Struthio camelus: one gene and its partners. The protein of the gene in region 2 purifies or fractionates together with the protein of the main gene of each other region. This does not show direct contact. Links are inferred from orthologs where the notes say so. Each region holds a gene or a part of one and is shown on either strand. Other genes may lie near its edges.

Region 1 (7,843 bases), on a different chromosome or scaffold from region 2:
AAGGTCCTCAATGAACTCTACTCTTTCCTATAATGAATTTCCAGAATGCTTTAATACTGAATTAGGGCATCATAGTGCTTAAAATATTGTGATATTCTTGGAGGAATTTATAAGACTCAAGAGATCGCAATGTGAAGAATGTGGAATAGACCTGAAGAACACAGAATTATTTAGCCATATTTTTCGTTATAATCTATCCTAATCTAATGGGTTCTTTAGAGTAAGCCTGGCCTGTTGTGACTGTTGATAACTGTGGCTGTGCACTTTAAACTGGATCTTATGAACATTTAAGAAAATATTTAATTTTATAGCATTTTATTTTCTTTCTTTCTTTACAGACTTTAGCACTGAACATATTTTATTATGTGAGAAATACTCAGTCCTCCTTGTAATGACTTCAAGGTCTCCTCTAAAGTCCAGAAAATCATTTTTAGATACTTTGTTTTGTACAGTGATTGTTTGACATATGTGCAGCTGTTTTGATGACGACACAGTTGCGTATTTTCTTCTAATAAGACATACGTAACTGTTTACACCAGCAAAATTAAATCCAGAGTGCTGGAGCTTTCTTTAGGCTTGCTGTGGTATAGATCAGAAATACTTATTTATGTATAATACTTATACAATGCTTATTTTCTTTCTTAAAATGTCCATCTATTTGGGGATTAACACTCTGAAGCTGTGCTTCTCATAGCGTTTTCAGGGTTATCAGAAGGTATCTATTAAGATAACATGGAAAGTGCATTCTCCTTTGACTTTTTTTAGTGTAAACCTGAGACAAAACCAAGACAAGTTTTTGTGAAGAGTGCTTGCTACAAAAAGGCAGAGAAAGCTTGTGTGCAAAATTTGGTTTCTGTTGTTTTGATTCCAACTGTATACTCTGTGAAGAAATAGGATAGCATTAGAGAAATGCTTGATTTTACCAGTCAGTGCTCCAGATAGAAATAAACAATGCACAAGGCTCCAAATATTGATTATTACTTATATTTAAAGAGCTGACATTATGCAATTCCTTTCCTGAAACCAGGAATAAGGTGAGGAGAAGTCAGCAACTTTTACCATTTTGGAACTTTCCCTGACTGATAGGTGAAAAATAGAGGTCTTCTAGACTGGCTCTGTCTCTCCTCTACATTCATTTCTCTCACTCCTTTCAACTTCTGTGATAAAGATGAAGAACATTTAAAAGTTTTCAAATGACTAGTTTAAACACAACTATTTCTTATGACAAATGAAAGAGGAACTGCCACGCTCAGTGAATCCTATGTAATTCAGTTAGTCCTCTACGTACCAGTAGCTACAGGAAATGTTTCCCATAGGTAGTATTGCTTCCAAAACCTCCATTGAAAAAGGCACCCTGCATTGGGATACCCTTTTTTAGTAAACTTAATTTAGGGCTCATTATTGTGACTACAAACTGATAGGTTGTATTTTTTCCTTAGACTGTAATTAACGAGATTGTTTTTCTAGCTTTCCTGAAAATGTGTTTGTTCCCTGAAGCAAACTTAGTTGTTCACTCTTCCAAAACATAAAATTCCAGAGAGTGTAGTTCTTGGCTGGGCACTTAGGGGAACATTGTCATCCTACCAATCAGGCTCCTTTTAACTATTTTTTTTATAAGACATAGATATCTATAACTGAAAGAGATAATTCATATCTAAATAAAATTCTAATTTTTTGTAACTTTATGCATAAGATAGAACTTCTGTGTACTGCCTTTGTTTAATTAGTTAGTTTCCCCTGTTGTTTGGGTAGACCTTAGTAGAAGTAGGAAAAAGTGATTTAAAAATCAACAGAAAGTAGTTTTGGCAGGGAAAACTGGAACCCAATGTACTATCTCAAACTACTTCTCTAAAACAGGTTCAATTAATGATGGCATAACTCTTTTTTAACAATTTATTCTTGTGTCCTAGAAAAGAAACTGTCAACACTGAATATGTTAGTAACAGTTTTTAGTTTTTAAAAATGATATATTTTTGCAGAAAAATGAAAGTCTAGAGCATCCAAACAGTGCCCATCTGAGTTCTCCCACCGCAGAAAGAACTAGAAGAGAGTTCTTGAGGAACAGAGGGATCATCAAAGATTCAGAATGGTTCTACAGGGTGAGTGACTCAGGGCGCAGAACTGCTGTGGTCATTCTTTCCTGCCTCTACCTGCACTGTACTGGCACTTACTGATCCTGTGGGGAGCTGAGCCCTCCAAAAATGTTGCTTTTTTATTTTATTTTTTTCTTAGTAGGGTGAGAAATTGGGGGGTTAGTTCTCACCTGATTTAGCTCAGTGACCAGCTCACTGTAGGGTCAGACAAGCATAGCTGAGTACAAAGGATTTCTTGTCTTCTATTTTAAAAGCAGGTGCTAATCTAGTCCTAACCAAATTGTCAAGCCCTTCAGGCATGGAGAAAAAGGTTAGAGTAAGAGGAACATGGAGAACGTATCCCCTGCTTAAAGGGGCAATCAATGAAAAAAAGGGAGGGAATGTGAGGACCAAAAGGTCAAAAATGGATTAAGAGAGGGGCATTGAGCCACTGACGCTGGATGTCGCTCAGAGGTGGCTGTGCTTGCAGACATGAATGGACAAACCCCACAGTCATTTGGATCCGCCACTGAGCTTCATCCTAGTGGCACAGATGGCCAGCTTGTCCAGGGCCAGGAGGAGGCTAATACGGAGGTCCCGTAACATGGTGAGGTCTCCTATAGGGAAGGCATGAAGGAAGAGGTGAGGGAAGAATTGCAGGCAAGAGCACACAACCTGGAGCACAAGGTCCATGTGGGAGTAAGAACATGCAGTCTGAAGCAGAGAGATGGAAGCCGCCGCAACTTGAATTTGTTTTAAGTGCTATGAAACTGCACCTGAGGAACACTAGATTTGTCAGCCTAGAAGATGAATGAGGTTGTGGTGCAAGGAGTCTGTGGCACACATCTGTAAGACAGAGTATGGTATGGAGACAGAGAGGAGAGAATGATAATTCATGGTTAATTAACACAAAAGATAAGGGACATCAAATGGAAATACAGTCAGAAAGCTCAAAACATAGAGAAGTGATTTTCACACAGCATGGAGTAAAACCAAGGAATTCATTGCATCAGGCTGTAGGTGCCAAAGCTTTTATGGATTAAGAGAGCAATTGGATTTTTCTTCCATGCGTGCCTATGAAGAGCTAGTAAACAGAAATATACTACTTCTAGCTAAAAGTCTCCGAGCTGCAGAGTTCTGAAAGCTGAGAGTATGTATCAGGAAAGTATTGTTATGTACACATCTTGTTTTCATAGTCTTCCCGAGACATCACCAGTCACCACTGGAAACAGCATACTGTGCTAAGTGGGTCATTGCTCTGGCCACTGATGCCATCCCAGTGTTCCAGCTAGCTTATGCACAAAATACATGCTTTCTTGCCTGCTAACGTGATACATCATTGGTAAATCCAAGCTCAGTTAATTTAAAACTTAAGGCTATAGGAAATATGAAATAGTTAGAACAAGTTGCAGATACATTCTTTTACACATTTTAGTGTTTATCAGGAAGATCTGGAAAACAGGGTAGTGTTTCTGTGTTTTAGTCACAAAGAGTTCTGTAGTAAGTAAAAGTTTGCCTCACCTTTTCTAAGTACAGAGAGGTTGGATCAAAAAATATGTAGTCTGCATAAAACAGACATGCCTTTGGGCATCTTGCACAATCCAGGCCTTTTCATTAGCGATGACTTGACATGGAGCAAAACAATGAGGTTTGAAACAAATCAGAACATAGTGGGAGCAATAAGGGACTGCGCTAAACTTCGTGTAGCCTGAGCAAAGCAAAAACCACACAGTGATTCAGTTCAGCCTCCATCTGGGGAAGCGGTGCATTTTTTAGTTCTCTAAGAGTAAGAACTATTAAGCATAATATCTGCATTGCGTATTCTGTTGTAGCCAGAATATTTTAGCTCCTGCAAGGTGTTGTCTTTTATGGCAACAAAGAGTTGTTGCCCAGCATAATTACAGCTTGGTTTGTAATCTTGCTTTTTCACATCCTGCTCCAGTCCATATGGCGTGGGGGAGGATTGTGCTGGACTTCCGCTCAGCATTGATGAGAGCAGAAAATGCTTTCTTTTCCTTTGCATGTTGTTAAAAGGGGGCTGTTTGCCCTCTCCAGAATTAGAGTTATTTTGTGTGAGCTCTGCTCTGAAGAAGCCTCCAAGACATGTAAAACCACCTGGCAAACTTTTGCATGAATCATACGGATATTTGTGGCCTCTGGCTTTTTGAACTGCACTGTGAGTAATCCAAGCTGCTCTCGTCAGTGCTGCTGCTGAAACCCATTTCTTGCGTTCTGAGAAAAGACCACGGGGGCCTTAGATGCAACTTGATGGTCTCCAAATTGTCCGAGAGGATATCTGGATAGCAAACCCCGTGTGCTCGTCTAGTCCAGCCGGAAAGGTCTGGACAAATGGTGTTCCTTCTTCTGGTTCAACCCTGCTAACAAAAGCGTGGAGGCCGTCGTGAGGTTAAGGAGGCCGGGGGCTACTCCTTGAAGTGTTTTTCCCTTGCGCCCCTAGTTCTGACGGTCCCGCGGCCTTTGTGGAAAAACTACTAACATTAATCGTGTAATAATAGACCGGTATCTGCCTGAACCATGTCTGCAGCCAGGTTTCCCCGTAACGTCTCTCTGCCCCGTCAGGATGCAGACCCTCCGGAGGAAGAGGACACCTGGACACGTGCGCCCCCGACCGCGCTAAGCACCTCGGCAGCCGAGGGGACTAAAGCCGGCCCCGGACAGGCGCTCGGGGGGCGGCCCACCGGCCGCGGCTGCGCGCCAGCGGGGCGGGCGGGGGCCGGACGGCGGCGCGGGGGCTCGCTCCGCCCCTCGCGCTTCCCCCCGGCCCTCCGCCCTCCTCCCCGCGCGCTCTCAGCCATTTTAGCAGCCGGGGCCGCCGCGGGCCGCCTTCTGCGCCGCCCGCGCCGAGCCGAGCCGAGCCGAGCCGAGCCGAGCCGAGCCGAAGGGCGGTGAGTGCGCGCGCGCGCTCGCCCGCCCGCCCGCTGCCCCGCGTAACGGCCGCGGACGGGCGGGCCTTGGGGCGGTTGTCGCGCTGCGCCGGCGGGCGGATGGCGCTCCCCGCCGGGGCTGGGACCGCGGCCCCCGGGTGCCTGGGCGGAGGCAGCCGGGTCAGCTGAGGGGAGGAGGGGGGTTAAACGGGGTCAGGCTGGTGGCCGGCTCGCTGGAGGCGCGGGCGGGCCGGCCGCGGCAGGTGGCGGGGGTCCTGGGAAGGCTGGCTCCCAAGGGCAGAGCTCCTCAGGGTGCATCTGCCGCCGCTGCGCGTTTTCTGCGCTCGGCGCATCCGCTCCTTGCTGGGGGGGCACCCTCCCTGCTCCCTGCTGGACGCTGCCGCGTCCTTCTGTGACTTTCCCTCCGCGGTGAGGTGGCCGCGGCCCGCAGGCTCTGCGGGGCAGCGCTGCTGGCTGCCCCGGGCTTCCCCGCTCTCCTCCTGCCTGTCAGCGCGCCCGGCCAGCAGCAGCATCCTCTGCCGCTTGGCTCTTAGCGGCCCAGCTACCTGATGGCAGAAGAGGCTGCTCGCCCTGTTTCTTGCTTTGCAGTAGCATCATCCCCCCCCCCCTTTTTTTTTTTTTTTGCTCATCTCCCTTCCTGGGAACCAGACGGGTTTTGTGAACCCTGCCCGATACAATCAACAGCGTTATCTCTTCCCCCATAGCCCCCTCCCACCTTTGCGTTTCTAGATGCAAAAGAGGAGGCCGGGCTCAGGGTATGGTCTGATGCTGATGTAGCGAGCACACGCAGAAACCCAGGAAAACGTGATTCATTGCTCAACGCTACGCACAATGCTTATTTTTTCTGTTTCACGTCATAGGAGCATCTGCTCCTATGCAAGAAAGCGGTTGGTTATTTTTGTTGTTTGATTCCTCTGAGATAAGTTTCACTTTGCAATATCCTAAAATATCTGTATGCTTTGCAGATATTTTAAGCTGATTTAAAAAGAAAGTGCATGTGTGCTTCATGCCCTCCCCTGCCCCCGGAAGAGTGTCAGCACTAAATAAGCCAACATCAGGCAACTAAATAAAGCCCCAATTATCTTTTATCCCTCTTGTTGCTTTAATGAAATAGTTATAGCAACTTGTGAGCTATTTTGTAACTATTTTTTATAACCCTTTTATCTAATATAATTGTTTCAAATTTGATTTTTTTAGTGAAGATAATAAATATAGGCTGAGAGTACAGAGAGATTTGATGTAAATTGAGAATTGTTGCAGATAAACTGAATTTCTCTAGTCCATGATGCTTGCAAAACGTGATTATCAGATTCAAAATAATACCCGTCCTTACTTTTTTTGTTCTGTTCATCTTGGTCTGTTGTAACATAAAAATATTAATGCAAAGTTCTTTGTCACTTAATACTGTAGACGTATGTGCATTTATGGCTTTGCCAGTAAAGCTACAAATAGTAATTAGAAACAATATATTTTTTTATTGTTTTAATTGACTTTGACTTTTTCAGTCTTCACAGTTGGTCAGGGATCAGAAATCCCAATGATTAGAAAGCACAGATTATTTTTTCCTAATATGTGAAAATCTTATTGGCTTTGGGGATTTGTTTAAATTATATTTTCTACCAAGCAAAAGGTACAAATAACAATGTTCCACCAGTTTCAGACAAATTGTTTGGTTTTATTTTTTTCTTCTCTTTATTTATTCTATTTATTTAAAGTTGCAAAGTTTGAGTTGAATACAGTTCTACAGAAGTCTTAATTATCTCCACAAAAAGGTTATATTAGTATTTTTTTAAACTTATCCCTCATGTCTTTTTGCCTGCCAATTTCCCTTCGTTGCTGTCTTAAACTTAGCTTATATAAACTTAGAACAGAGAATACAAAAAACAAATTAAAAACTCTGTGGTAAGGCTTTCATGATATGTTAATTGTTCAGGTATTTGCATCTCATGCAAACATTACTCATGTATTATCTTTAACACTATCTGTAATATATAGCGTGCTAGCAAGTGACAGTATCGCCCATTGTTTGATGACTGAATAATCTAACATTTATCAGTAGCTATAAATTTCCAGCATCATAATTACCAGTGTTCTGTGGATGACCTCCTTCTAACAACAGGTTTATGCTTCAGCTCTTTTATAAAACTAGAAAAATAACACTTGAACAAGTTGCTAAGCAAGGCAGTAGTAGATACAAATGTATTTCAAGCAATATTAAGATATGTGTCTAGTAAAATAGATGGACCCTGTTATGCTGTTTTAAATAAAGTTAAGACCCCAATGAGTAGTCTGAGCGTGAGCCAAAGATATAAACATGTAAATTCTATTAATTTTAAAGGTATTCATTAATAAATGGGGTCAGGTAGTTAAGATGACAAGTGATCGAGTGCTTATCCCTAAGAAAAATGTTTTTAATAAATTACTGAAATGAAAAAGAGATTGAGTTAATTATTAAGGGAAATATTCATTGTATACACAACTAACCGCATGGTCCCTGTTCTTCAGGGCATTTATTCTCTCAAGGGAAAAGGAATTTTGATTGAAAGAGGGAAGTAGTTTCCTGGGACAAAAAACTTACATTTTTGTACCCTTTGTTCATATACTAGCTTGTTATTTAGATGGGACAGCGTCTTCCAAGTAACATCCTTTTTGTCAAAGATGCATCTCAAAGTTGGCCACGCTATTTATTTTTCCTGTGTTCGACAGCAGCTAGAGAGTGGCTCTTTGTTGTTGTTTCAGCGTTACCTTACCTCCTCTTCTTCCTGTAGCTGGCATTGCCCTCTGTCACCTTTCCGTGTGGAAGGTGCTTCATGGAGTAGGCAAGCAGCCTGGAAGGGCCTAAAGGGGAAACTTAGTATTTCTCTT
Region 2 (7,459 bases):
CCTCCTATGACAGATGCTCCAGTTCATTAATCATTTTCATGGCCCTTCGCTGGACTCCCTTCAGCAGGTCCATGTCTGTCTTGCACTGGGGAGCCCATCATGGACACAGCACTCCAGATATGGCCTCACCAGGGTGGAATAGAGGGGAAGGATCACCTCCCTCGACCTGCTGGCAACACTCTGCCTCACGCAGCCGAGGATACCGTTGGCCTTCTTTACCATGAGGGCCCATTGCTGGCTTGCGTTCAACTTATCCACCACCTTTTCTGCCAAGCTGCTTTCCAGCAGGTCAGCCCCCAGCCTGTACTGGTGCATGGGCTTATGCCTGCTCAGGTGCAGGGCTTTGCACTTCACCTGGTTGAACTTTATCCTTAAGATGTGGTTCCTCCCCACCCACGTCTCCAGCCTGTGAGGTACCTCTGAACAGGAGGATAACCATCCGGTATGTCAGCCACTCCTCCCAGTTTGGTGTCATTAACAAACTCGCTGAGGCTGCTTTTGATCCCATCATCCATTAATGGAGATGCTAAAAAGTACCGGCCCCATATCAAACCCCGGGGCACATCACTGGTGACTGGCCTCCAGCTTGACTTTGTGCTGCTGAGCATAATCCTAAGCCCAGCAGTTAAGTTCAGTTTCAGTCCAGATCACTGTCCATTCGACTAGCCTGTACTTCATCAGCTTGCCAAGAGGATGTTACAGGAGACAGCGTCAAAAGCCTTTCTAAAAATCAAGGTAAAACAACATCTATTGCTCTCTCCCTCATTCACCAAGCCAGTCATCTCATCATAGAAGGCTATCAGGTTGGTCAGTCATGATTTCCCATTTATGAATCCATGCTGACTACTCCCAATAGCCTTCCTGTCCTTTGTAAGTCTGGAAATGGCACCCAGGGTTTAGTTGCTCTGTTGCCCTCCCAGGGACTGAGGTGAGGCCGTGCAGCCTGTAGATCCCTGGATCCTTCTTTTTGCTCTTCAAGACAGGAGTGACATCTTCCAGTCCTCAGGAACATTTCCTGATCACCATGACCTTTCAGAGATAACCAAGCGTAGATTTGCAATGACATCAGCCAGCTTCCTCAACCCTTGTGTGTGCATCCTGCCAGGACTAGTGAACTTTTGTCTGTCCAATTTGTTGAAGCATTCCCTAACCTGATCCTTTTCCACCAAGGGTAAGCTGTCATTGCTCCCCACTTCCTCTTTGATCTCAGGGTCTCGGCATTCCTGAAAGCAGTTTTTACCAGTAAAGACTGAGATGAAGAACGCGCTCAGTACCTCTGCCTTTTTGGTGTCTGTTTTCACTAGGGCTCAGGCCCCATTCAGCAGTAGGCTCACATTTTCCCTAGCTTCCCTTTTGCTACTTGTGTACTTAACAGAAGCCTTTCTTGCCCTTTATGCCCCTGCCAGTTTCACTCCAGATGGACTTTGGCTTTCCTAACCCCATCCCTACATGCTTGGATAGTGTCTCTATCTTTTTACACGTAGAGAGAGACAGAATATATATCTCTGTCATCGTCCAGGAGGACCCGGCCCTCTGAACACACAGCTTCGTCCGACTCTCTGAAGAACAATTGTCTTTTTCCTGCTTAGGCAATCTACACTCGACACCCATTACAGCATCAGCCATGTTGGTCAGCCCACTAATGCTGGCCCATAAGCTCTCAGCTGACCCCAGGCAGAGCTCTGTGCATTCCAGTTGCTCTCTCACATAAAAGAGAACTCCCTCTCCTTGCCTTCCTGAGCAGTCCTTCCTAGAGGACCTGTATCCATCCAGCACAGCGTTCCTGTCTTGTAAGCTATCCCACCATGGTCCCGTTATCCCAATGAGATTGCAGCCCTGTAATTGCACACAGACTTCTAACTCCTCCTGTTTGTTCCCCACGCTGCATGCATTAGTATACAGGCACTTCAGAGAGGCACCCAAGCACACTGACTTTTCAATAAAGGGCATGAGAGCTTTCCCCATAACGTGTTCCCATAGGCACTTCCTTCTTTATTCCCTATTTTTATTAGGGTCTGCCAAGGCAAAGCACCACATAAATGATTAACAAAGATGAAGTGTTTAGCCTGATACAAAGAGTAATGCCACCGAGAGGAATTCTATTAGAGAGCCTGTATTGCTTTATATACACGAGTTTACAGTATTCTTCTGATCCACTTAGGTCAATTTGCATATACTAAATAGCCACATCTGAAGACAAGTTGGTCTCACGCACTTCTGTACTAGGAGGCGAGGAGTGGGATATGCTTAATTTTGCTACTGCAGCTGGGAAGAGTATCACTAGAAACAAAACAGTTAGCGAAGGCGTTTGACTAGTCACAGTTTCACTGGTGACAGAGCTGCCTGTGGCCCAGATGCCATTTTTTCCTCAAAATACAGTCATAATAAAACAAAGAGAGACACCTAGTTTAGTTTCACAAGCTACATGTTCCCTTTGGTGGAACGGCTAGATTTGTCAAGTAGGGAGCATTTAAAACTGCAGAGACACCTTGTTAACCCTTGAGAAGTTTAACTTAGTTCTCATGCTCATAATATGGGAAGGTGCAAGAGACAGGCAAGTTTTTCCCAGAGGCATTTATGACAGAACATTTTCTTTCAGCCGTATTTCATAAGGCCTTTGTTACCTACAAGTACTAGGGTACACAAGCCGCTTCCTAGTTAAAATTTGTTAGAAAGGAAATAGTTCTCAAAAAGAAAAAAAAGCTTTGATCGACAGCATTGCCAATATGTACAAGTCTCTGGAGCTGTTACAATATACAATTTCTTTACAGGAACTCCCCTCACCTCGTAGGTAAATTTCAGAGCACTGTGAAAGGGGATACATGCAATTCTTTCTCATAGCATGTTCCCTACCGCAAAGTCCATACTTTCCAGTGCCTGCCACTTTTATCATCTTGTGGTATATAGCATCTAGTCCTTCTAATTATGATTTGAGCCAATTTACCTGCCAAGTGACCACGCTCTTCAAAATGCTGACACGCGACCCACTAGATCAGAAACTTAAGGGAGAGAATAAAGAGGAAGCGTTATCTGGTACCCAGTATTCCTTCGCATCTGGAATACTGGTAGGAGATCACAAAGTTTGCAATCTTGACTGCCAACTACTGACCACTGTGGGGTTAATGTGCTACCTAGAAAGTCCTCACAGCCCATTCATTGCTTAACATTATCTTGAGGACTGAACACTCAGTCAGAGCAGTATTACAAACTTGCACTCTTTCACCATCAAGTATGGCAAATATTGGCCCTAAATATTTAGCCTTTATGCTTTGTCTAAAGCCAAACAGACTGCCAGTTGAAGGCTTATAGTTTTGTTTGTGTTTTTCAACAGCTTGATTCAATTCAGTTTGATTACCTGCCACTATAAGCGTGTCTGATTACCAGAGTCACCAGACAGTAATGTCTCATCAGTACGAACCCACTTGAAACATGGAAAAAGGCTGATGTTTTCAGTTTACCATAATGGAGACACCCTCAGTGTTCCTGAAGATGCTCATGAAGACCTGTCACATAAGGCCCATTAGAGACACCGATATTTTGAAGACACAGGCAAGACACTCATAACAATTGTAACAGTTTTGGTGTAAGAAGTGAGGCAATGCAAAGCGAATACAAACAAAATAAAGGTGCAAACAGTAAGTAGGGCAGTCGCTTAAGCGGTCATTTTGAAGCAAGCAAGGCAAAACACAGCTGAAGGCATTCACTGAAATGGTTAGCGACTGCCCCTCCCGGAAAGCGCCCGCGCGTGTGCCCTCCGCTGCCGGGGGGCCCCAGCAGCGCCGCGGCCACGCACGGAGCGACGCAGCCGCCCGGCAGCTCAGGCTCGATCAAGGTCAGGCCCTCCCGAGGGAGCGGGTCGGCGGGGAGCGGCCGCCCCGCGAGCCCGCCCGCCGTCGCTTCGGCTGCGCCTCGCACCCCCTCCACCGCCCGGCCGCCCGGCGCGCGTGCGCAACAGACCCGCGCGACCTGCCTCGCCGGCGGCGCTCCCCGCGCCGCGGGCGGCGGGACGGCCGCGGCGGAGCAAGGCGAGAGGGACAGGCGACCGGCCGCCGCCCCCCCCACCCCGCCCTCCTCCGTGACACACCTGTTCGGGCTGCCATGGTGCCTGCGGGGGCAAGGCGGGCCGGCACGCGGACGGGAGTCGCCGCCGGCCGGCCGGGCCCGGCCCGACGCGCCTCCACCGGGCCGACGCGCCTCCGTATGACGCAACTCCGCCGGCTCGCGCACAGGGTGACGCAACCGAAGAGGGGAGACGAAAAAAGCCCAGCTGGCGTTAACTTCACGTGACGACGGCGCGGTTGGCGGAGCGTGCCTGCCCTCAGCCAATCAGGGAGCGGTCCGGGCGCGGGCGCGGTTGGGGCGGGGGCGCGCCCGCGGCGCCGAGCGGGTCGGGGACGCGGGTGGGGACGCGGGGCGGGGCGGGGCGGGGCGGGGTGGCGCAGCGCAGCGCAGCGCAGCGCAGGCGGCGAAGTACGCGGTTAGTGTGCTGTTGCTGCTGGCCAATGCAGAAGCTTTACTGCGGCAAATACTTTGAAAAGTTGCGCAGAAGATTGATTTCCCGTACTCTTTGTGCATCTTCGACCTGAATTAAGGCAGAAGGTAAATTCGTACGAAGTGTTGAGCTTCTGCTCAACAGCTAATGAATAATGCATTGTTTTTCACTAATAGGTTTGAAACCATCTTGTAAAGGACACATCGTTAACCTTCTTTGGAGAGGCTTAGGCTCTGTGGGTCGATGTCATCTTGAGGTCCAGTGGCAGGGCTAGGAATTTGACCCCTACTTCTTGATTGTCCAGGCTGTTGCCACCAGCCAGCAGGTTTAGCTGGGCAGTGCTTAAGTTAGGAAGCAAAGCAGCTCTGTGTTTGTCTCCAAGGCCCAGCAGATAAACAGAAAAGAGTTGTTTTGGAAAGATGCTGGTGGGGGAAAAATCCAAAATTTCAGAACTAGAAATGAAAAATCAGATCATAGAGCAGTCTAAAAGTGCTGGGCTGTTGAACTACCTCTGTGATTTATCACATCTGGGTGTTCCAGAGCCTGATGCTCAGCCCTGTTCCTATGCCACTGTCCTTACCACATCTGATCCGTTCCTTGTCCCACGCTGCTGCAAGGACCAAAGATGCTATGCTGCAAGTGTCATGATTCCCTTAGGTTGAACTGGAGAAATTCCAGCTTGCCTAGGAACTGAGTTCCCAGACCCCAGTTCTCAGATGAAAAAACAACTCCAACTCTATATCCAGCCTTGGGTTTTGTGTCCCCCTCCCAGGGATTTTTCAGGAAGTTTGTAATAGTTACAATGCAGGGGTTCTGCTACTACCGCTGCTCAGATACTGTGAGAATAATCTGCAGAAGAGCCTGTGCCAAGGGTTTCAGGTTGATGAAGCTCTTTCTGTTGTTTTCAGGGAGGTAGTGCTAAACTTGTGTCTCTAGGGTTGGGGGATCGCTATGATCGCATATATAACACAGTACAAAAGCACTTTATATCTTTGCTTTGTGTTGTAATAATTTCTTAAGCCTCTCTGGGCAAGTCTTAGAGGCCTGTACCAACATCTAACACTGTGAATTTCTGGTTCAACCAGGCATGCATCTATCTTTGCTGGAAGTTTCCATTCAGGTGGCCCTCGTGTCCTCTTGTTTATCCCTGCTGCAGCCAGCTCTCTAGCCTACCGCTTACGCTTTCACCGGGGCAGCTGCTCTTCGGTGAAAGCTGCCAAGGTTAGCTAACAAACAGCACTTATGTCAGTAGACTATAAATTAGGGAGTGCTGGGAACTCCTCCTGAAGTGAGGCTTAGACAAAACAAGCCATCCAGAAGAAGAGAGATTCTCAGAATGTTGAAATCCTTTCTTAACGAGAGTTTGAAAAAGTTCCGGCTCTCCCAGTAGGAGAGAGATATTGACAAGCTGGAGAGAGTTCTTTACGAGGTTACTGAGGTGGTCAGGATGCCGGAGCTCATGATGTACAAGGACAGGCTGAGAGAGCTGAACTTGATCAGTCTAGAAAAGAGAAGGTGGAGGGGTGGTATCTAATTGCAGTTTTCCACTACTTGAAGTGGGTTTACACAGAAGGCAGAGTCACGCTCTTCTCAGATGTGCACTGTAAGAGGAGAAGCAGCAACAGTGCAGCAACAGAAGTTCCTGGTAAACAAGCTTCCCCGTGAGACTGGTGCAGCTCTGGGACCAGGCCTGGAGCATTAGGAGGCTCTCCATCCTTGGAAGTACTCAGCTTTCACCTGAAGAAGGCTTTGCACAACCTGAGGGTTGAGCCCTACTTGGAGCAGGGGATTGGACTGAAGACCTCCAGAGGTCCCTCCCAGCCAAACGCTTTCCATGTTTATACCTGTAGCATAGGCAAGTTTATTGTGGGGTTGTAAAACACAAGTGTTCAGCCCTTGTAGCAGGAGTAAGTTAATCTGTTCATTTTAATAGTGATTGTGTGTCTCCTTTTGGTGAATGCTTAGATGTAAAGAAAACACAACTTCTCTGCCCTGTGTACGTCTCAACATCCACGCTCTTTGCAGCTGTGTATAAAGGTGCTCAAATGAATATTCTCCAGCACTGTCCAGTGCCTCTTCCCATGGCGTTTGACTCCTAATTCTCAGGGCTGACCAGGATGTACATGGGGTGGATCACCGATAGGAAGAGGAATAGCTTAACCCTGCTTTTGTGGTGCTCATCTCCATGCAGTGTGTGTCTGAGGCGGGAGGAGGCTTCCAGGGTGGATGCCCAGTCCTGGATGGTTGCCTGGAGTGCATTGACATAGGCATCAGCTAACCTGCAGCCGAGCTCTCCCAAGTGCGGGCAGCCGGAGCCCAGCAGGCAATGGGTGGAGCTCTGCGCACCAGCAGCGGAGCTGATGTTGCTACTATTTTGTTGTTGTTGTTGTTAAAACTTACGCAGCTCGTGTTACGTGCTAGACCATGGCTGAGGGCTCTGATCGGGGCCTGGAGCCTTGCTGGAGCCAGGCTCTTTCTGCGCCGGCGAGTTGCGTCTTTGGATTCGCGAGGAGCTGTCACACAGCGCAGAAACTGCACCGGGGGAGCGGACGGCAGCCGGCCAGCGGCCACATCCGACACCGGGCTCCCTCCTGCCAGCGGCGCCGCTCGCCGCCCCAGTAAAGCAGGTCGCGCGGCGCGGGGTGGGCGGCGGACACATCCGCGGGTGCGGGGACGCGGAGCCGCGGCGGGGCGGCCTTTGCTCCGCCGGGCCCACGCCGTGCGCCGGGGCGGCGGGCCAGGCTCCCGGCGCCACCTGCTCCTCGCTGCGCTGCTGTCCGCCCTGCTCCCAGCTGCCGTCTTGCCTCCGCCCCAGCGAGCCAAGCGGAGGAGCGACGCGCGCCCCCGCCCGCGATTAACTCTCGCAGGTGACATGGTTATATTTATTCGTCTTTCCACAGTATCCCCAGTGATGAATTTGATTTTGCCACAGGGAGTCCACCAATTTATAAATCATGCTGAGCTCCA
Region 3 (8,042 bases), on a different chromosome or scaffold from region 2:
CAGTCATGCTAATCCGGAGAAAAAGCACTTCATTTAACTGTACCTTGGGAGAACAGCAGTGACTTGTCCTCTGGGGAAGCAGAAAGCAGGCTGGAGGCATCTTCTTGTCTGCAATGACAGCTCAGAAACTGTGACACCTGCCAACTCCACGTGCTCCAGAGATAGGAAAAAAGGTGAAGTTTTCAGCACAAAGTTGGTACAAAGGGATGCTGAGACTTGGAACAACTGTCTTGCAAGTGGATCAGAAAGCTGATGTGCTAAAGGGTGTTATTTGTGTTAATGCAGCCAAAGGATGTTGAGAGGAGGGAGATCCCAGGGTTTCTGTCACTGCCTGAGTTATCGTGTCACATGTTTCACTGTTGCTCATACCCGGAGCAGTCACAAGACATCAACACTTCAGCCATTACCTCTTTTGTGACTTTTGGGAGCTCAAATGTGAGAGATGCAGAGACTGCCTCTACCTCACCTCAGAGACTCACCTCAAGGTGAATTTGAGAACTCTGGGATTTGATCAGAAAACTCAAAGGCCCCAACTCTAAATTCTGGAAAGTCTCCTGCCCCTGTGCTCATCTCCCCTCGAGGCTCCCCTACTAATTACATATAACAGAGATCTCACGACAACTCAACGTAAGCCCTACACAGCCAGAGAAACCTTTAATGCTGCAGGAGCTCCTAGCTGTGACATCCATTTTTTGGGTGGCTCTTTCCTCTCTCTGCAGCCTGAACAGAGGCGGGATTGAGCTCCTTATGTCTTCCATAATCCAGCAGGTCCTACTTCCACCTGACAGACTCTTCACGTATACCCGACCATTTGCTTTTTGCCTTCTTCACCTCTGCTTTTTTCCTTGCTCACCTTTTATGCCTACCAGTCTTGTCTCCTCAGTGAGCTTTATTCCCCATTCCTTAGATAGGGCGTGTAATTGCACGTTATCTCAAAGCCAGGAAGGACTCTTAATAAAAGATAGATATATATTAGCATAGTGTGCCCCTGGCTTGCTGCCCAGATTCAAAATGATCTGTTCATACACTTTTAAACTGATGGTGTGGAACTGAACACGGATCACATACATCAGGGAAATAAATGCTACCTATTTTTATTATTAAGATCACTTACTGGTTATACTGGAAGTGGCCTTGTCTTTAATGCATTAATTGTGACCTTTATGAATGTTCATGTTCTCCTCATTTGTACAGTGGCTGATTTTGAGGCAAGCAGAGCCATGAAAATATTGATGGCACAGTGATTATTAGCTGGTACTGTTCTGAGGTACTTTGAGGAGGACCAGATTACAACTGCTGCGTTTATTTTCCTCAGGGCTTATTAATGCTTTGTATTAGCTGTGCTTGGACTGTTAACGGAGGAGTTAATTTGTCGTGCTCATATTAAAGAATAGCCTGGCTCCTAGGATGCGCTGATTAGCCAGAGACTTTCCCCTAGAATCTACTTTATTACACAAAGGCCAAATTTCTGTAGTACAAAGAAGGCCACTTTTGTTCCAGAGAAACATAACTATTCATTTCAAACTTTCCCCATAATGCTGGTCCTTTTAGCTCCAGCCTTGGTACATGCAGAAGAGTAGTTACTCTGCATATAAGAACAGAGGCAGCGAGAACAGCAACATAATGCGAACAGTGAAGCCTGCAAAACTACAAACTTAATCCTTCACTTGAGCTCAATTTAACTTCTGTCAAACAATTTGAGGGACGAACTTGCTGCAAGATCTACCCGTCTTACGAAGAGAAACGCTAACAGAGCTCGATTAGCTCGGGCGTAGTCCCAGCAGTATTTGCACTATTGCCAGCGTACGTCTCCCAGGCAAGGCCCGAACTGTGAGGAGCCGCATCGCGTGAACGCTAACACGAATGGCTGTGCAGGTGTGCGACCCTCTGCCAAAACACGAGGCTGAGGCCTCTTCCAGTACAGAAACAGAAACAGGACACAGTGTTCTCCAAGCTGAGGCCCTGGCAGCCCCTAGGTGAAAGGGGTATACTTGGATCGAGTTTCTTCTCAAGCAGGACAACTTCTCTCTCTTCCAAAGCTCTTTGTCTGGACCTCACTCTTCCTCAAAAAGCCTACGGACTGAGGAACGCTCAGTCCCTGAGTTTTCAAACACACAGCAGCCTCTGCAGCCTAACCGGACGTTCAACAAAATCAGAGACGGCTTTCTGTTAGTGTTGAGCCCCATCCCTTCCAGCCCCACTCCCTGCTGCTTTGTCCTTAGCTATGGGACAGGTCACGGCTTCCCTAGCAGCCGGACCCGCGTTCCCACAGGGATTTTCCAGCCCTGGGACGGTTGCTCTCGCCTTCGAGCCCACCATCCCTCTTTGGGCGAAGGGCAGACGCCCCCGCCCGCCTCACCGCCCGCTGCGGCCTGCCCCCAGCGCATGCCCCTCCTGCCCCTCCGCCGGCGCGACGGAGCGGGGCGCCGCTGGGCGAGCAGGCCCCTGAGCCCCGCCTGCGAGCCCGGGACACGGGCCGGCCCCGCCGGCAGGGGCGCGGCCCGCCGCCGCCAGAGGGCGCCCCGCCCGCCGCCGCCGCCGTTTGGCGCCCCCCGGCGGCCGCCGCTAGCAGCTGCGGAGCGGAGCCGGCTGGAAAAGGTTTGTCCTGCGGCGACTCCCGTCCCCCGGCGACGTCAGGCTTGGCAGGGGCGTACGCCTTAACGACCGCTGCGCAGCCGCCCTTGAATGGTGGGAGGCGGGGCGGAGAGGCGGAGGCAAAGCGGGCACGCCGTCTGATTGGTCATCCGCGCCGTCCTTCCCCTCCAGTAGGCGGGGCGCCGGCGCGCCGCTCCCTGCTCATTGGCGGCGGCTGGGAGCCGGGGGGGTGGGGCGGCGCCAGGCCGCTGGGGTTGGTTGCGCTGGCCAGTGGCGGGTGCGAGGGAGTGCGGGGGGGGAGGGGTGGGGGGGGTCCTGAGGCGCCGCTGTCACCGCCGCCTTCCCGCCCAGGCCCGCGGAGCCAGGCGAGCCCGGCGCAGCCCCGTCCGCCCGCGGCGCGGCGCGGCAGGACCATGTCGGCCACGGACGAGCGGGCCAAGGAGATCCTCAGGGGCTTCAAGCTGTATCCGCCCGACGGGGGCCGCGGGGCGGGCGGGCGGGCCCAATCTGCCCCGGCCGGGATTGGGGGGGGGGGGGGGAGGGAGGGTGGCCAGTGCGGGGATCGCCGTCTCCGAGGGCGGGGGCGAGCGGTTGTCATGGAGACCGCCACCACCTCCCCCCCCCGCCGGCTAGGCTGTTCCCAGTGTCGTCCTCCCCTCCCTCGCGGCCCCCCCCCCCCCCGGGAGCGGGGAAGGGCGGGGGGGTCCCCTCCTCCCGGGAGCAGGCTACGCCCAATGGGGAGGGCTGGGGGCACCCTCAGCCCCACCGCGGGGTCCTGGCTGGGCTCCCCCCCCCTCTTCGGGACCGGTCTGGCGGGGGGATCCCGGTCAGGAGGCCGGAGCTGTCCACCGGGCGGCTGCTGACGGGCGGCGCCGGAGCAGCGGGAGCCCCCCGAGCTCGCAGAGGGCAGGTGAGGAGCCGGGAGCCCGGCGCGCTCCGTCCCGGGAGGATCCGCTCCCTCCCCTTCGGCCGTCCTCCTGGCGCGCCCCTCGAGAGCCGCAGCTGCTTAGGCACCTCTGCGCCGAAGGAAATATCTGCTCTCCAAGTGCAGCAGCAGCAGCAAAGTGTCTCGGTCCTTTTCTTGCTGTGAGGTACTGGCACGTGTTTTGTTGGTTGTAAGGTGTCTTTTGTTGCTGATGCTAACATATTATAGGTGCTAATGCCTTTCTGTGCAATTCATTCTGCAGCTTTAGCACTGTAGCTCTCAAAAAGCTTCTCTGTTTTACATCTGAGTGTATTATGTGAATACAGATACAATCCTGAGCAAATGAGACAGATCTGAGCTAGGAAGAAAAATGAGACCCTGTACACACCCTTCCAACCCACAATTTCAGTACAGGAAGGCTCAATCCAAAGGCCCATATGCAAACCAAGAGTGGGAGAAATATGCCCTACTTATAAAATGAAGTAACTTCATTTTATTATAGCAGGTTCTAAGTTTAGAAGACAGATGCAAGCTTCCCAGCTTGACCTTAAGACACAGGGTGAAATCACTTTTTTTTTTTTAAATACTGAAAAAGGATAGAAGTTCCCTCTTGATCTAATACTGTTATTTCTGAACAGCTTTTTGTCAGTAATATGTTTGCGATCTGTATGCCATCTGTAGCAGGATCCGAGATGCTCTAGGTTGGATTTAGCCAAATAGCTACTATTGAACTATAAGCAGATGCTTCTCAACTTTTGAATCACTGTCCCCTCCCCCAACCTTTTAGTAGTGCAGCTGGTTGCTTTGCTTCTAAAGTAACAATGTTGACAATTCTTTTTATTCATGAAGTTGTAATACCTAGTCAAAAATAGTTGAACAGCCTTATGTACAGGCAATTAGCAAAAGCATAAGCTTCTGACAAGACCAGGCTAACATGTTGGTAGAAACGAAAAGTGTTTGGAAAGTTAACCTTAGGGAACAAACTTTTAACTACTTTTCATGTGCATTTGTATATGGTCTTCACTGGAGAGAAAAATTTATGAGGACATTTGTCCAGCTTTGGATGAAATAACTCATTTAGTAGTTTGTTGGCTTAAATACAGAATGTTTTTTTCACCTTGAGAGGTGTGTAACAGAAGGTAAACTTCCGTTATCTCAAGCAGCTATAGTGTAGGCAAAAACATTTAGTAGAAGTACTCTGCACTTCCAGGTTGAAGAACCTCAAGTTCACTCTTCCCTTACATGGTCACTGAAATCGATAGTATTACCTGTGACAACCAAATGACAGGACATTTTTAGGCAGTAAAAGACTTGACCATGCCTCTCTGAGAACATGCTAGAGTATTATGATAGCTCAGCTTACTGTCTGCCATATAGTCCAGACAGCATAAAACCTTTAAGTCCAAGGAGCAAGAAAGCTTTTTCTCAAAAAAAATTTATAATTGGAACTTTGCATAAGTAAAAACAGTCAAAAAACAGTCTCAGTGTGTATTTAGTAAACCAGAAGTAAATGCGGCTGGACAGACATTCCTCATTTGTAAGAGAAAAAGCCTTGAGACGCTGCACCGTCCACACAGGAAACTACTCATGCCCAGATCTGACCGTGCTCACTGTAAGACAGCCATCAGCTCAGACTTCTATTTCCTTTTCTATGGGTGAGTATATGTTCTAAAGAACATTACATTTTAAATAAATGTAATATTTTTCTGCCCAGTCTACTGCTATATCTGCTATTTTAATTTCCTTAATAGAACAGAAGAGATGAACACATCCTGAAAAGCTGTACATTTATCTTTGGAGTACTTAAACTTCCTCCTCCTGTCCCAGGAAGGAGGAGTTAACTCCAACTTAAGCAAACCCTGCAAACTTGGCACCTGAAGCTGTGCTTGCTTTAGCACAAGAAACTAGCACAGTGGTACCGAGGGTATGGACATACTAGATGCCTTGTGTAGTTAGATCAATTGATAGGGTAGGTGGTATCATTGAGGAAGTAGATCTCTGAATTGCTTGCTTACTTTAACACAGAACAAGCACTTCACCTGGAAATTCAGCTCACATTGAGTTGTTAAAGTTTGCCTCAAGCAAGTTCAGTTTGTAGTTCTGGTTCCCCAGAAGAGGCTGAATACAAACTTTCCAACTGATTGAGACACACTGCTGTGGAAATTAGTTCGTAGCCCTGATCCACTCTCTGGCTTCAGTACACAGATATTCTTTCCTTCCTCTATGACACTAGTGCAGAAACATGTTGTGGCTAGTGTCCTCAAATTCAAACCAGGAACATTTACTCCCTTTTCTCAGATTTTGCTATTTCCTGAAAAGATGAAAACTAGAAGTATTTGAAGTTTGCAGGCCAATGAGGATATTATACTTGTCCTAAGAATTTTTAGGGCACCAGTTAGCACGCTGTCTGTTCAATTTGTAAGTTTAAAAGATGAAAAGCCACTAGTCAGCAACTTTTATAGCTTGTCATTTCTTGAAGACTGCATTTGTTAACAAAACTTACAGCACGTTCATGAATTTCCCGTTTTGAAGGCACTCTTCTGAGCAGCAGTGCTTATACTTGGGGGGAAAAAAACCATTAATATCTACAGGTAGCCTTGTGTTATGTGAACGCAAACTAGTTGGTTGACTATAGGCACTGTCAGTTCACATGGTAACTTAAAGCATCCTCCTCTGGAATATTGGGTGAGTTTTCATTTCTGCAAGTATTTAATGCACAATTGGTCTGCAGTCTCAAATGCAGGAGGTTTGACTATGCTTGTTTCCAGAAGATGAGACAGTTACTCTGTCAAACTAAAGACTAGAATGTTATTTGGCCCACGCTTATCTTTTCAACATATTCTTCAGGTTTCATTCTGCCATTTTATCTTTACAATTACTGTGTACCATTAAATGTATGTTTAACATCCTTTTTCATAGAGGAATAGCACTGAAAGTGTTTCCCCATAACAGTCAAAACCTGGCATTGAAGAGTTACTTTTCAATGGCTTTTTTTTTGTTTTAACTCCCTTGGTAATTTGTGGGTTGCCTTTATAGCTTTGTTCAAATATAAAGTAGCAGAAAACTGTTTATTGTGCTGTGTTCACTAGTATAAGGACATTGTAGGCAACTGTTCTATTTAACCCAGTTTGCCAGCATTTGGAAAGCATATGTGCTTTGCTTTCTTAAAGTATCCATGGTGTAGATTAGAAATATCTGACCATGGGCTGCAACAGCCCATTCACATCCAGCTCTTGAGGGACCACAGTTCTGGTTATGTTCTTCCAGTAATGTTTCTGCCAGAACAATAAGAAAACCCTGAACAAGCCAAGAGCTAAAAAGCTCCCCAAGTTTCATAGTATAGTTAAGGTGCTAAGCCTAACCTTCCAAGACATGAGTAAGCATATCCAGTTTTCAGTTCTAAATCTTAAAATTCCAAGTATCAGCTATTGTACTGGCTTCTGTACAGAAAAGCCTCATCAGAACTGGACCTCAGAGTTAGTTGCTGTATAGACATTTATTAGTTCAGAGTAAAGTTGTGTGCGAATTTCTATTTGAGGCTATACAGCCTATCCTACTGTACTCATTCAGAAGTCTCCTAAAAACAAATTGATATGCTGAACTTAAGCACAAAGAGACAGCATTCAGGTGAGAATTGTGATGGAGTTGTGAAACTAATATTTGTCGTCAGTATAAGCCCATAGCTGTAGCTCATACACTCTGCAGCATTTGTAGGCAGAGCTTTTCATACATGTCAAAGGGTTTCCTACTTCTGAAAAATCCCTGAAGTTGCCTGTATGACATCCTCCTGTCTCCCAGTGCTTCCTCCAATTCTCTTGCCATTATTTCTGTCTAGGAAGTGAATCTAGTACAATAACCTGTTAAGCTCTGTCCATCCTCCCAAGAGCTGTAGTAAGGGTTAGCTATATCAGAAACCATGAACAGCTTCCTTGAACCTTATATTGCTTTGCAAACAATGAGAGTTCTCCTTCCACAGCTTCTACCCTGCCTCTGCCATATACACACAAAAAAAAACTAGCCAATGGAAGTCTTGCCTATCAGTTCCTAGAACAGTCCCCAAAGTTTTGGGCTGCTTCTTGTAGCATTCAGTTGTCAAATCCAAAAGTTCTGTCAAGTTGAGTCTCCAGCCTATTTTTATTAGGTCAGTAGATCTTTAACTGCTTAAGTAAAAATGCTCATTTATTGCCTTATTTGCAAGGCAAGTTGGCAGCTTTAATTGCCCTTTAAAACACTTTGTTCTGAGGTTTTCTGTGCACTTGTCCTCAGATCTTGGTTTAAGACTTCCTGCAGTTAAATAATGATGAATCACTGGTTTCATTGGTTAAAAGGAGGCACTAGCCAGCTAATAGAGGGATCAGGGCTCCTTAGAAGGTGGGAAATGTACTCTGTAGAGAGCCAAAGCTGTGTTAACTTAACTAGCTTGCACCAATACAATTCAAGAAAAACCTCTAGAAAACAGCAAGTGAGTTTGTGCTCCCCACTCATGTTTTTCATTTCTGAAAAACAACAAACTATGCCTGGC

The links.
Region 1: the proteins of FBXO10 (region 2) and ACSL4 purify together in Homo sapiens (affinity purification with western blotting; 3 studies listed by BioGRID, with this or other methods). This does not show direct contact. The link is inferred for Struthio camelus from reciprocal best matches to the Homo sapiens genes FBXO10 and ACSL4.
Region 3: the proteins of FBXO10 (region 2) and PDE6D purify together in Homo sapiens (affinity purification with mass spectrometry; 3 studies listed by BioGRID and IntAct, with this or other methods). This does not show direct contact. The link is inferred for Struthio camelus from reciprocal best matches to the Homo sapiens genes FBXO10 and PDE6D.

The regions. Positions count from the first base shown.
Region 1 is NC_090952.1:8,895,786-8,903,628, forward strand, and holds the start of ACSL4 (long-chain-fatty-acid--CoA ligase 4), read left to right. Parts: upstream 1-4,812; 5' UTR 4,813-4,978; intron 4,979-7,843. UniProt on the Homo sapiens protein: Catalyzes the conversion of long-chain fatty acids to their active form acyl-CoA for both synthesis of cellular lipids, and degradation via beta-oxidation. Preferentially activates arachidonate and eicosapentaenoate as substrates.
Region 2 is NC_090982.1:2,321,356-2,328,814, reverse strand, and holds the start of FBXO10 (F-box only protein 10), read left to right. Parts: upstream 1-4,456; 5' UTR 4,457-4,599; intron 4,600-7,279; exon of another isoform or gene 7,280-7,459. UniProt on the Homo sapiens protein: Substrate-recognition component of the SCF (SKP1-CUL1-F-box protein)-type E3 ubiquitin ligase complex. Mediates the ubiquitination and degradation of BCL2, an antiapoptotic protein, thereby playing a role in apoptosis by controlling the stability of BCL2.
Region 3 is NC_090950.1:21,896,439-21,904,480, reverse strand, and holds the start of PDE6D (retinal rod rhodopsin-sensitive cGMP 3',5'-cyclic phosphodiesterase subunit delta), read left to right. Parts: upstream 1-5,016; 5' UTR 5,017-5,030; coding exon 5,031-5,175; intron 5,176-8,042. Other genes in the region: COPS7B (COP9 signalosome complex subunit 7b), read right to left, coding at 44-100. UniProt on the Homo sapiens protein: Promotes the release of prenylated target proteins from cellular membranes. Modulates the activity of prenylated or palmitoylated Ras family members by regulating their subcellular location.